Stegostoma tigrinum: one gene and its partner. The main gene of each other region encodes a partner of the protein of the gene in region 2 in a complex. Links are inferred from orthologs where the notes say so. Each region holds a gene or a part of one and is shown on either strand. Other genes may lie near its edges.

Region 1 (7,004 bases), on a different chromosome or scaffold from region 2:
TAACATCTCTGAACAGGGTGATTTTAAAAAAAAATTGGGTGAGAACTTGACTGGGTGTATTTACATAGAAGGAACATGTAATCAATGGTGGTGAAGTTGTCAGTGGCAAATCAGAATAAAAATCTGACGAGAAAAGCATATGCTGGACTCATCTACTATTTAAAATAAACAAATTAAACAAAATTAGTGTCAACAACCCTGAAGGCACACTAACTAAAGTAAAAACTCTGAAGGAAGCTTACTAAATTCAGATTAAAAGATCGTTTTGCAGGATAATGATGCCTCTCAATCTGGTCCCTGTCTAAACAGCGTTCAATATCTGGTGTTCAACAACCATGATTATTGCATGCAGTTCTGTTCTTAGCTGGTGCACAAATTATCTGCAACCATCTGCAGCAATAGCTGGACAGAAAACAGGTGCAGCAGTTCCTTTGTCCACCAGTTATTAAATAACCAATTCACTTAACAAGAACTGTCAATAAAATAACAAGTCATCACAGACATCTGTGGGAGGACTGGTTAAAATTAAAGGCTTACCTTTGACTTTGGTGCTTCAGGTCCATCAGCCAAGAGAAAGAAAATAAACAAGGTAAGCATACAGACACAGTGTAAAACATTAACTAAACGAAAAACCAACAAATGTCCTCCTTTATCAGAGAACACCTCAACTCACAGGTCTTGTCTATATTCATCAATATAACTTATTCAGAATATCACCATATCATTCCATCCCGTGTCCTTCCAGGTGCTCATCTAAATTCTCCTTGGCCCCTCCAGTTCAATGTTTCTCCCTATGTGTCATATACCACAACTGGATTAGGTACTGAGCAAACAGGGACTTTTGATTTTCCTTCTTACTCCTAAGTTCATCATTTTCTAACCATTCCCCTGGGATTTGAATCTTAACAGATGTAAACAACTGCACTCTATCAACTTTTTCAATTATCTTCACAATCTTGAAAACTTGAACCAGAGCATCTCAAAACATCACCTTTTGCTTCTCCCTTTGAAAGACAATAACCTCTTACTACAGCAAGTACTACACATCTCCAAATAGATCCAAGACAGCAATTCTCAGAGCAACAACATTATTTTCCTTGCATTTGAGCTACCTGCTAACGGAACCCGTAGCCTTTTCTTTCTTCTGCAACTAATAGGATGGTCAGACATAACTTCCATTTATCTCCAAAAGGAGGCTGAGTCATTATGCTGGAGTTATAATTTGTCATCAACAACAGCAAAATATTTCCCAGTGATTACAGTTTGGATTTCTGGCTTCTTGAATTCTCTGCCTGGAGAGAAATTCAACGCACATGCAGCAGGACCTGCAACACAGGCAGGATAAGGAGGCAGGTTGCAAATCTGCCTCAGTCAAAACAAGGATTAAACCCCATGCTGTTGGCATCAAGCACGCCGATCTGTCCTTTCCAAGGAGTGCACACTGGCGTGAGAACATGTATTTTTATGTATATGATGTAGTCTGGAGTTACAGACAATGACTACAGAGTCTCTATTTCTTTCCATCACACAGCTTTCGAGCAATACCATACAACCTTTGTGCTGTCTGTCAGAAGCATATATGGATTGATACGCAACCGATTTGGCCAAATTATAAAATTACCTTCTTTGGCCATTGAGTCCTGGAGTCTGATTTGAGCCTGGAGCTCCTGGCCCAAAGGCAGATATGTTGCCCACTGGACCACAAGTCTTCCATGAGTTACCACATACTGAAATTTTAAATTCCTTGCATCTTTCTCTTCTTCAATCCTGAAGCCTCTGATTCTTGTTGTGGTACAAGGAATCATGGTTACAGACTGGCCAATCTTGTCTCATCGAAGTGGTAATACAAGCTGGTGGCACAGTCAACTATCATACAGTCAACCTTACATAGCATCCAGCTGGGATTAACAGATGGACAGTTAGAAACAGGAATCATGAATCATGCTTGATTTCCCTGCTGCCACCAACACTAGGCAAAAATATTTATAACAACACCCTCCTGTTGCACATAATGGCAATGCTCCAGGTGATCCTGCAACTACCAGAAACTGAGGTTGTGATCTTCTACGTAACTCCACAGTCATATTTTTAAATTCATTTAACAGATCCAGGTTTTGCGGGCTGAATATTGGCCAAACCTAACTGCCCTTGAGAAAGTATGGTTGGCTGTCTTATTGAAACACTACTGTCCATGGTGTTTAGATGCTGCCAAACTATACTCGTGGATGTAAGTTCCAGGATTATAATAATGGTTTCCTCTCATCAAATTCCACCACTAGTATAAAGAATATTCAAGTTCAGTCACAGGAAAGAATTAATGTATTCAACTATCTTTGAGCAAAGGGAAAAGATACCAAATCACAAATGTAGAAAAAATACATTGTTGTATTTCATATCACAGAACTGAACTCCCAACCCATGACCCAACAGCCAGCCCACTTGTCCAGCTAGCCCACAATTATAACCTGCTTCCCGGCTCGCCAACACCCTGCTCATTATCCATTCACCCAACACCTGGCCCACTGCCCAGCTAGTCACCACCCAGCCTGCTACCCACCTAACACATAGCTCACAGCAAACTAAGACTCAGCCCACTCTTCAGCTAACTAACTTCAGCTAGCTTCCAACCTATGCAATACACAGTGCATTCCTAACCCACCTCACTATCTACCTAACCAATACCTATCATGTAGCAACACTACCCAATAGTTCAGCCATTTCAACTCAGCATCAGTACTTAACAGCCCTAATACTAAACACAGTCTCAGTCTCACAACCCAGCAGCCTGACCGCCAAGCCAATCCTACCAACGCACTCCAACAGCCCAGGACCAGCCATTGACATGCTACTCAGTGATCCTGTATTCTGTTCCACTGCCCAACCTCCACTAAAATTAGCCACCCACCACAGATCTAAAATTTACCAAAATATTTACCATCACAGTATCACATTTTTGTTACTCTCCAGTTGCAGAGGGCAGTGACACACAACTGTAGCTCCATTCTTAGCAGTCTTACCTTGGCACTGGTGGAAGTGCACGTGGTGGGCGCTGAAATAAAACCACAGAAAGTCATCGTCAATATCAAGGATGACACCATTACACAGTATGCATGCCACTGTCAATTCCTGACTCAAATCAACCATCTGAAGGCTGTCGGGGGCATTCTGTCACAGTTCCTGACACAATCATTATGACACCCCGAGGCCACAATCCAGGCTGATATTATCAAAGACGTGCTTTTCCAGATGTAACATGAAACTGCAGCTCTATTTGCCCTCAGAAGGGCATAAATGATCCTGTTTGAATAAAGGAGCCCTTTCTTGTTACAGCCAAAATTTATTATTGAAACAACAGGTCCATAAACAGTTTTTCTGATCGTATATTGCATTTTTTGTTTGTGGAATTTTAGTGAATATTACCCCATACTTGAAAAAGATAGTAGGTTGTTTATGAAAATTTTGAGGCCGTCTCAATAAAAGAAAGGAACTGTATAAATACAAACTTTCACTTTCTTCAAAATTGATTTGATAAAAGAAAACTGCTGATAAATTGGGCTGAGAGAGATAGAAGGGACTGCCGATGCTGTAGAATCTTGAGATAACAAGGTGTAGAACTGGATGATTACAGCAGGCCAAGCAGCATCAGAGGAGCAGGAAAGCTGACGTTTCGGGTCTGGGCCCTTCTTCAGAAAACAATGTGCTGGCAACAGTTCATTGAGAATAATGCAAGGGTAAGAGTGTGTTATTCACAATGAACTCTCTAAGTTCTGCTATAAACATCTCTCACGCCAGCACTCAAAATAAAAACAGAACAAAAAAATGAAATCCACACAAACCCTGTCAGCACGTGAATAAAGGTTAGTGTTTCTTGTACCATCAAGTGGGATTTACCGTGTCACAAATATGAAAATGATTTTCCCTTTCCAGATCAAACTTAAACTCTAGCTTCTCACCGCTTGCTTCTTCATGGTGTCTGTGATCTGCGAATCTCAGTAAATGGGTCAACAGTGACCTTACTTCAAACTAATCCAACATTAAATCCTTCACAAAGTGGATTAGCTCGTAGACTATCCATATGACAGCTGTGACGGGGGCAGGATTTGGAAATCTTGTCACCAAATGTAAAACACAACATGATGAATATTCTCCCTCTTAAAGCTGGCACTGTAGGGATGGCCCTTCACTGTCAGTGGAACAATAATGCTTGAAGAAAGTGAAGGGATTGGAGATTGCTTTCTAACCATTCTCCTGCCAGGCAAATAGAATCCCACCAAGGTCTTCATGACACTAAACTGAGCTGATTAATAAAACCAATTCTTAACTGATTCCAGTCTCTTCCACAATATACTAGAGCTACCATCATCATCTGACCTGTTGAAAATGTTAGGCTTTTTTCCTGGTAACTCAATTGGGATGACAAGATGTCATTTGCCAATATAGACCAAAACATTTCTTGTTCAAACCCCAGGTGATGACATTAGTCATCTCTCAGTCAGGACAGCAGCTGCTTACATTTGAGCTCCGAAACCTCGCCTTGTGATGAACTCAATGGCTTGGGGAGGCAGCAGGGTAATTAGCCAGGATTCCCCTGTCAATGTAAGGTAATGACTGCATTGGAATGTCTAGGAGAGCCAGTCAGGGCTCAACAGGTGATTCATGGCAGATGGAGACACAGAATGGCAAAGTGGCCAGTGCCAAGAGAGTGAAGATGAAACAGATCCTTCAGGAGGCATGTGGAGACAATGCAAGAATTCAAACATTATTCTGGCTGACTCAAGGCAGAGCAAGATTGTGATAAAAGCATTAAATTTGCTCACGAAATCCATAAATTCAAATTCTCATCACTCCAAAAGATGTTGTTTCCTAGACATTTTTCTATTCTCACTTTCAGTTGAGAATTCATTGGCTCAAATAATCCAATGGCCAGATAATCATTGATGCAGCTTGGACAGGAGTTGCATGTCATGATCATGCAGAATACCCAAGCAGCTGAATCAGTGGAAACTGTCCAGGAAATGGAATTTTTCAATACGCAATTCCCCTGTACTAGAAAACCTCAAAGAGTCCACTAATCGAAATTTCAATAAAAACCAAGAGAACTGTACATGCTGTAAATCAGAAACAAAAACAGAAATTGCTGGAAAAGCTCAGCAGGTCTAGCAGTATCTGTGGACGGAAATCAGAGTTAACATTTCGGGTTGAGTGACCCTTCCTCAGAACAATCTCACTTAAGCTGATAATTATCCAGGAAATGTTAAAAGATTAAAAACCTAATCCAACACCTGGATGAATATTAAGATGACTCCTCATTGACTTCCCAAACTACATCACCCTGGACTCCTGACAACCACAGCCTGACTCGATTAAATGCATTCTCCCCAACACTGCCATTCTGACCAAGCTCCGTAATCCTGAAAGATTTGAGATCGGAATTGCCAGCAAGAAATGTGGAGCTCAGTCCTAATGGAAGAAAGTAGGAACTGAGTGGCAATCTGACTGTAATTTGCACTCCTTGTTACATGTGGGTTGTATATCTTTCCTACCATTCATGTTAAGCTATCCAGTTCATCGATACAAAATAAAAACCGAAAGAACTGCAGATGCTGTAAATCAGGAACCAAAACAGAAGTTGCTGGAAAAGCTCAGCAGGTCTAGCAGCATCTGAAAAGAAAAAAAATCAGAGTTAAAGTCAACAGACCCAAAACGTTAACTCCAATATTTTTCTTCACAGATGCTGCCACACCTGCTGAGCTTTTCCAGCAACTTCTATTTTGGTTCATTGTTGTATTTAACGTCAAAAATAAACTCTAACTTCTGATTTATCAAAGTTCTGACATGAATCTTTCTGAAACAAATTATTAAACGTGCATAATCCTGCCCCCACTATCTTCTCCCTGTTTTCTTTTTAAAACATGTGGACGTTCACAACAGCGGTCAAGCGTCATAGTCTCAGAGCTTGATTATTCACAGAATTGTTATGATGCAGAAAGAGACCAATTTGCCCTCGAACTCTTCGAATAACATCACTCCCTTGTGCCAGTCTCATGATTTTTCACGATACACTTGCAAACTATTACTATTAAATAATCATCCAATGTCATCTTGAATGTCTCGTGAACCTGCCTCTGACAGACTTCTAGGTGGTACATTCCATACCCTAACTACTCGCTGCGAAAACAAGTATTTTTTTCCTCTCAACACTTAAATCTCTCGTTCACGTTCCTTTTACAGGCTTCTCCTTATCTACTCCATCCTGACCGCTCATGATTTTGAAACTTTCCATCGAATCTCCTCTCAGGCCTCTTCTTTCCGAGGGGAACAGTCCCCAACTTCTTCGAACTATCCTCAAAGTAAAGTTCCTCGTTCCTGGAACTATTCTTATATATCACTTCTGCACTCTCCCCTTAATACTTACTTAGTATTTCTCACGTTTGATGCAACAGCACCCCCTTCCCCTTTAGCAAGAAGCCATCAGCAAACTAGAGTGGGGGTCAGACCCCGGGGTACTGAGGCCAGTAGGCACCACAGTCCGCCCCCATGGCCATGTGGTGCCGGCTCGTGTGGGATGGGTGTGAGGATGGGAAGGTTCTGTGGAAGGTAGTGTGGGGGGGTTTATGGGAAGAAAAAATAAAAAACAATGGAAGCCACTACCCCCTGGAGACCCCAATAAACCTGAGAAAAACTATAAAAAAATGGAAAAAAATGGAGAAAAAATGGAGAGAGAGAGAAAACAAAATGAACAAAAATGGAGAGAGAGAGAAAAAAATGGAGAGAGAAAAAAATGGGAAAATAATGGAGAGAGAAAAAAATGGAGAGAGAGAGGAAAAAACATGGAAAAAACAATGGAGAGAGAGAGAGAAAAATAATGGAGAGAGAGAGAGAAAAAATGGAGAGAGACAAAAATGGAAAAAAGATGGAGAGAGAAAAAAATGGAGAGAGAAAAAAAATGGAGAGAGAAAAATGGAGAGAGAAAATATGGAGTGGAATAAAATGGAGAGGAAAAA
Region 2 (7,588 bases):
AGACGTTTTGGTCTCCTTTTCTGAAGAAGGATGCTCTTGCTCTCAACGGAGTGCAGCAAAGGTGATTCTGGGAATGGTGGGTCTGACATATGAGGAGAGCTTGACTAGGTTGGAATTGTTTCTGCTAGAGTTCAGATGAATGCGGGGTGGGGGGGGGGGGGGGGGGGGGTGGTGATCTCAGAGACTTATAAAATTCTAACTGGAGTGGGCAGGCTAGATGCATGTAGGATGTTCCCGATGGTGGGTGTGTCCAGAACCAGGGTTGCAGGATAAAGGTTCAGGGAAAACTATTTAGGGCAGAGAAGAGGAGAAATTTCTTCACCCAAAGAATGGTGAGCCAGGGAAATTCTAGTAGTTGGAGCCAAGACACTGAATGCATTCAAGAGGCGACTAGACATAGCACTTGGAACAAATGATATCAAAGGCAGAAAGCAGGATTAGACTATTGTGTTGGATGATCAGCCACGATTGTGAAGAATGGCACAGCAGGCTCAAGAGCTGAATGGCCTCCTCCTGCTTATATCTACTATGTTTCTATGACACATTTGTAGAGTGTCAGATACGTGGCAAACAATGTTCAATACAGAGAAGTTTGAGGTGATGCACTTTGGTCAGAAGAACATTGAACAACAACAACAACATGAAAGAGGGCTTACAATTCTAAAAGAGATAGCAGCAGAAAGACCTGAGTGTTTATGTGCACAGATCATTGAAGGTGGCAGAACAAGTGAAGAGAGCAGTTAATAAAACATACAGCCCTCTTGGCTTCATTAACAGGGGCACAGAATACAAGATGTACGGAGGTGATGTTGAACTTGTACAACATTTGTTCAACCATAGCTGAACAGTTATGGCACACAGAGAAAGCAGAGTTGAGAACTGATTTACAAACAAGGTTCCAGGAATGAGAGACTTCAGTGACGAGGGCATATTTCAAGAAGTTGAAGTGTTCTCCTTCGAGAGAAGGTGGCTGGAGGAAATTGCTAGAGGTTTTCAAAATCATGAGTAGGCTGCATAGAGCAAGTCGGGAGTTGCTGTTCCCACTTGTAAAAGAAAAAGGAATGAGAAGGCATAGATTTAAAGTGATACACAAACTAGGCAATGATCATGAGAAAATTTTATCAGATAGTTTACATATGGAATGAACTACCTGGAAATGCATTGTAGGCAGGTTCAATTGAGGTGTTTAAGACGATATTGTATGATTACTTGCATAAAAATGGTATACAGGGATGTGGGAATAAAGCAGGGATTGGCAACAGGTAATAGAAACAGTGTATGCATGATGAGCTAAATGGCCTCCTTCTGTACTATAACAAGTCTGTGATTCTGCTCCTACATCTCATGGTCTCAGTGCATGACTCCAGTGCAGAAGAAAAATAAATGGGCACCTCAAGACAGTTATGAAAAATCAAATGAAGACACCAGCCATTTTGCCTTTTGAGGCTAAAGAAGCATTCATTCATATGCACACCTTCATTGTGACATTGCTAAACGAATTAAATACACATATGAGGGAAGTGTTTAAGCATTAGAGATGATAGTGCTTCTCAAACATTTTCCCACTTGACCCTAACCAGGCAAGGATAGAAAATTGTCACAAATCAATGGCATGTGGGGTAATATGAGGGGAAAGGGAATCGTGACGGGGAAAGGACATTTGATCATTGCTGCCACAACTGGCTACCTGAAAATGTCAGCTAACACCACTGCCCAACCCACACTCCCTCCCCGGAACATTGGGAGGCCCTACTATTTGGCAGTTGCATCCAAAATGGAAAAGATCACTGTGTATATTGGGCCACCTGATCTGAGGATGCAAGGTCAGATTGCAGCAACAAGAGCAGTTAACTACTAAACCTTTGTTAAATACGTGACGGAGTGCTCGGCTGTCAACCTGATATCTAACACCATCAAACTCAAAATTTAAAAATGATCAACTGTCGTTTTTTTTTGGAAGAGTACCATCTTTTGCTAGTGTCCTAATTTAATCTCCAAAACATCCAGGTGAGAAAAAGTAGGCAACTGGAGTCAAATAATGGTGCTTAATTAATGAGATAGTATGCCCATGACGGGCTGAACGGCCTTTCCCTTCGGTCATTTTTTTGTGTCGTCGGGTAGGCTCCTCAACCAGTAAAAACCGATCGTTCTCCGCCTAGCCTACTTGCTGCTACGTAGCAAACGTTTTTCATGCGGAGTTATTTCTTGTCGCTAAACACCAACCAACCCCTGCCCTCAAAAACCATCTGACAAGTTTTACCCACCATCGCTACTTGACTGCTGGTCGGCGCCACACGGCCTGCACACCATACGAGAAATGTCAAAATACTCTCGCTTGGTGCATTGTTTCGCGGTTTGGAAAGGCATGGAAAGGATAACGGTCTGGGTAAACGGTAGCTGTAAGAGAAACAGCAGTAGCCAGCACTGGAACGCCTCCCCGATTCCCATTGCCACAGCCAACCGTCTCTTCTGCCCGCCCTCCGGCTCTCCCAAAATACACCGGGGCAGGCAGCAGGTCCTGACAGCTCCCCGCTTCAAAATAACTCCACTGGAAAAAAAGACAACGTTTGATCACTGGTCTAGATAAAAACAAGACTTAAATCGGCAAACCATACTGTAGAGTTCTGAACCTCAATCGACTTTGAGTTTGCCCAAGCAATGGGGCTTTGATTTATTATATTTGGATACAGAACTGTCAGGACTTCTCTCTCCGGAGGCGGCGGAAGCGCCATCGTGTCGGTGGCTAAGAGACCAGGCGACGACGGCGGCGGCGGGTTAGTTGGTGTAGACGGGCTACTGCCTCCCTTTAACCTGGCTTTTTCTGTCTTTCCAAAGGGGTGGGTGTTGGGAAGCAGCAGTTCGTATGCTGAGGCGGCGGGCGTCTTTCCCTTCTCCGGGTCGGGTGGAAAAACCGGGCCTTTGCTGGAGAGGAGCGAGTCCGAACTGGGGCGGGGGAGTTTGGAGAGTGGATGTAGTAAAAGTGCAGGCCCAGCCACTTACCTTATTGCCGCTTCGGTTTTTTTCCCTTTGGCTTGCAGCTCCCGCCCGCACGAACATTTTTGTTCACGTGGAGTGGGCTGCGTACTAAATAAATTGAATCCTTGCAGAGGTTACCTACGCCTGTTCCACCTTTGACCTGAATTGTCTGACCGTTTTATCTCGACGACCTGCGATTTAAACAAACGAAGACTTAAAAATACTGGGGGGTGGGGTTGGGAAACAAAACACTTTAAACGATTCTGCTTGGGAAACGGATTTATTTCATTCAGTATGGTATGAGTTTGAACAGTTCCCGATAACGTTGTCAAGCACCCTGCTTGTCTATTTGGCTCTATTACCAAACCCGCTATAGTGATTTTTGAATGTAGTTTTCTGAGGCAAATAAGCATTTCTGAATCAGAAACGGCTTTTCAAAGGAAAAGGCTGTATTATATATCGGTCTTAATTGTCTTAATCACTAATGATCGACATGGATATAGCCCGTCATTTTGATCTGGAAAAGCATTGAAGCGTTTTTGATACACTTCCTTGATTTGAATCCACTGATTTGCAGGCACTAAGCTGTTGAATTCCCTGCTGAGCCTCTCAACCATTTCATGCTGTTCAAAATGCTAATCAAAACTTGAATCTTTGACTTAATCATTCATCAGACATTTGATCATTTGCCTTGAGTTGTTTGGCATTAACCATTGTTTGATAACACTGGCCGGTTTCTCAGAATTATTGAATTATTTTTAGATTTATCATCGTTTCTAGGAAAGAAGAATTTAATTCTTGAAGCCGTTTATCAATTTTCAGCACTTGCTATTTCTGTTATAGTGGGAAAGTAATGCTCTCTAATCAAGGTCGTGGCCTGCTGTAAATGGATTTTTTTGTTATAGCAAAATTTTCACAAGTCAATGAAATGAATTTTCGGTGTGGAATAACTTTATTGAAATGTTTTTAATTAGATAAAGTTTGTTCAATGGCAGGTGCTTGAAATTTATAACTCGATAAACCCACCATTATTTTGATTTGAAATGGATTTATTACAGGTTTAATCTTGTTCTTTTGTTTTGCAGTCTGTAGAGTTGATTTTAACGAATCTGTTCAAGCATCTGCTTAAAAGAAACCTTTTTACAGGTTAGTGTCATACAAATGGTAGGTGACTGAAAATTGTCTAACTGGGATAAACTATAAACCTTTATTATTGTCGCATAACCATTTGACACTTTTGAGTTTCTTTATTGCAAATGTCACGATTCAGTAACGAATAGTGACTTTCAAACCAAAGGGAAAGTGAAAATAAACTTGTAATAAATGTATCATTTCTGAAGTAGCCATGCATGGGTTAAAATTTGTTAATGTGCACACCAAGCTGCAGAGCACTTGCATTTCCTGTGCATCACAATTTCTGTGTTTTAGTGTAGGTTTACATCTCATTGTGAAGCAGCAGTTAAGAAAAAACTGTGTTTATTGAACTAATAGATATATTTTATAATGCACAGTTAGTATTTAACTTTGTCCTGTGTAGCATATTAGATTTTTTTTCTGCTTGTAAATGAATTACGACAGTTGGCAACAAAATTTTGAATCTGATCTTTCTATTTTTACAATAGTTGAGTTGCTATATTTGTTCACTGCTGTTTAGCCCAACGCATTGGAGTAATCTAAACTTCTCAAAGTGCATATTCGGTTTTTTGCGACTGTTGCTTTAATTTTGCTTTATTACCGAATTATGTGCATTATTCCTATTGCCCATAGTTTTAACTAGTATTTAGACCAGGAATCTGTGTTCTGAACAGATGGTGAGAGTCTGTGTATACAAAGTGCAACTCCAGAACAATCACTTTCAATCTCCTTTATGGAACAAAAACATAAACGTAAGGACTATCACTTCAAAAGAATCAAGATTTGAAAAAAAAGAAGAATTCTAGTTGTATTAAATGCATACGCTATATTGTTAGCTGAACCTGCCTTTGAGTTGCTACAGAATCAAGTCTACAGCACCCGAGATCTTCGCGAAAACATTAATGTTGTGATATACCTGAAAGAAACATATTTTTAGATCAAGTAACTTCTTTCTCAAGTGGACTGCTGAATTATGTGCAGTAGTGGATTTTTCAGTTTGCCTGGAGTCATTTACAACATTTTGAAAATGCCCCAATGTGGATTTTAGGATTTTGCATTTGCTTTATATCTGGAGTCGTTTGCAGAGTTCAGAGCAATACGTGAAGGGAAAAGAAAATTTGAGTTACTAGTTTGAGGTGGTTTGTTTGTATTTTTTTTGAGAATACAATAAATAGGAATTGTCCAAGCCTGGAGTGAAGTTATTTGACGGGTGGATTACCATGTGGGAGAAAAGATGTGATGGACTCTTTATATAAAGAGCCATGGTTGCAGTTTGCAAAATAGACTGTATTTTGTTTTTAGCTAACTTCAGTTGAACTTTAACCCTAGGTCCTTTTTTACATTCCTTGTTTGGAGAAGGAATGATACAGTACTAATTAGCAGCACTTACTTGGACAGCAGTTTTGAAGTATTACTAGAACTTAGATCTATCATGTAATTTCGAGATGAATTCCACTGAGGTGCTGTGGCTGATTTAAAATTGAGGCATTTTTCATATTAAAGACAATTTCAGTCATCATCAGATCTTGTGGAGAACTGTTGTGGCTTGGAAGATATCTTCAGAATTTTCACAGACAACTTTAGTGTTTTTGGTGGTTTGAGAGTTGGGAGCTTTTGAGATTTGGTTATACTTTTTGAATTGAAGGTCAACGTTTAAACAAATTTGTGCAGAGTAAGAAGAATCTGTTTTATTCTTAAAATTAACATTTCTGACTTTTATTAATATTATATTTGGAAGTTAATGCAGTATCCAGAACCTTTTTTGACATAATTTGACGTCATCCTGTGTGCCTTTCTTGCCTGCAGGTAACATTTTCTATTGATAGAGTTCAGCATGGCTGTGGTCATCCGCTTGCAGGGGCTCCCAGTTTCTGCAGGAACCTTGGATATTCGTCACTTCTTCTCTAGATTAACCATTCCTGATGGAGGGGTGCATATAATTGGTGGTGAACTGGGAGAGGCATTCATTGTATTTGCTACAGATGAAGATGCACGGCTTGCTTTGATGAGATCGGGTGAATTTCTTAAAGGGAGTAGAACAAAGCTAACATTAAGTAGCAGAAACGAAATGCAGAGTACTATTGAGATGAGTCGTAAGAGATATGCACGTCCCAGTGGAGAAACATCCAGTTACGGAAGGTCGGGATTCAGCAATTCTGGCACAGGTGGCTTAGGTAGTATGTCTTCTACACTAGCTGAAAACTTAGTTGCAGCAATGCAACATGAAATTAATAGGGATGCCTTTCATCCTGGTGAAATTGGAAGTTCTGACATGAACAGCTATGGTACTCGTATGGATCCAATGATGAGTGGCAATATGTCGACAATGGCCTTATCTTCTCCACAGAACATTGCAGTTGCTCCTAGTTCCTCAATGTCTGCATTATTTGGAATGACCTCTGGAGCAATGAGTGATAGTTTGGATAAATTTAATGGCTCTGGGTCAATGGATCGTTTTGCTGATTCAGCTTATAATCAAAGGAGAGAGCAAGGAGCTTTTCATACTGATGATGTTTATTTGCATCTGCAAGGCATGCCATATTCTGCAGGAGAGCTGCAAGTGAGAGAATTCTTCCATGGTTTACAAGTGGAAGCAGTTCGTCTACAAAAGGATTACCGAGGTCTGAATAATGGAGAGTGTTTTGTACGGTTTGCCAGTTCTTGGGATGCAGCTGAGGGACTAAAGCGTCACAAAAAATACATGGGGCAAAGGTTTGTCGAGGTGTATCGAGCTACAGAACTAGACTGGATTTCTGGGGGATCTGATTTGTTTGTAGATGATAGACATTTGGATCTAAACCGACACAATCGAGGTCGTTCCCCTCATCGTGAAAATAAACATTTCCATTCTCAAACTCGATCAAGGTCACCTCGAAGGCACAGGTCTCGATCTTATTCCCCTCAAGATCAAGACTATTGGATGCAGTTAAAAAATACACCATATAGTATTTCAAAAAAAGATGTACGAAATTTCTTTAATGAACTAAACATAACAGATGACCAGATTTACCTTGTAGAAGATCCTCATGGTAAAAATACTAAGGAATGCTTTGTCAAGTTTAGAAATGATGCTGAGATGCGTAAAGCTTTAAGATACCATAAGACATACATTGCAAACCGTGCAGTTTATCTATATCCGCTCACTAAAAAAGCTATGATAGAGTTGATGGACACTATTAAGAAGCAAAGATCAAGAGAAAAATCTGCCTATAGAATTGAAGAAAAAATGTACCCGTCTAGAGAAGGAGCGCATTCCCCAAGATTGTATATTTATGCTCGTAATCTTCCATTTGATATCTCCAAAGCTGAGATCCATAAATTCTTTGAGGGATTTGGTGTTGCTGAACATGGGATCCGAATACTTGTTGATAGTAATGGCATTGGACTAGGGGAGGCTCTGGTCAAGTTCAAGTCTGAAGATGAAGTACTAAGTGCTGAGCGATTATATGGTAAAAAGCTTGGAGGAAGAGAAGTTGTG

Evidence for each region. Proteins that work in one complex are often made in the same cells at the same time.
Region 1: tmem67 (region 2) and transmembrane protein 237-like share a complex: the UniProt entries of both Homo sapiens proteins name them as parts of the tectonic-like complex. The link is inferred for Stegostoma tigrinum from reciprocal best matches to the Homo sapiens genes TMEM67 and TMEM237.

What each region holds. Positions count from the first base shown.
Region 1 is NC_081360.1:20,407,595-20,414,598, forward strand, and holds the start of transmembrane protein 237-like, read right to left. Parts: upstream 3,075-7,004; coding exon 3,018-3,074; intron 1,708-3,017; coding exon 1,622-1,707; intron 552-1,621; coding exon 538-551; intron 1-537. UniProt on the Homo sapiens protein: Component of the transition zone in primary cilia. Required for ciliogenesis.
Region 2 is NC_081358.1:90,652,844-90,660,431, reverse strand, and holds the start of tmem67 (meckelin), read right to left. Parts: upstream 3,111-7,588; 5' UTR 3,001-3,110; intron 2,775-3,000; exon of another isoform or gene 2,549-2,774; 5' UTR 2,449-2,548; coding exon 2,265-2,448; intron 1-2,264. Other genes in the region: rbm12bb (RNA binding motif protein 12Bb), read left to right, coding at 5,945-7,588. UniProt on the Homo sapiens protein: Required for ciliary structure and function. Part of the tectonic-like complex which is required for tissue-specific ciliogenesis and may regulate ciliary membrane composition.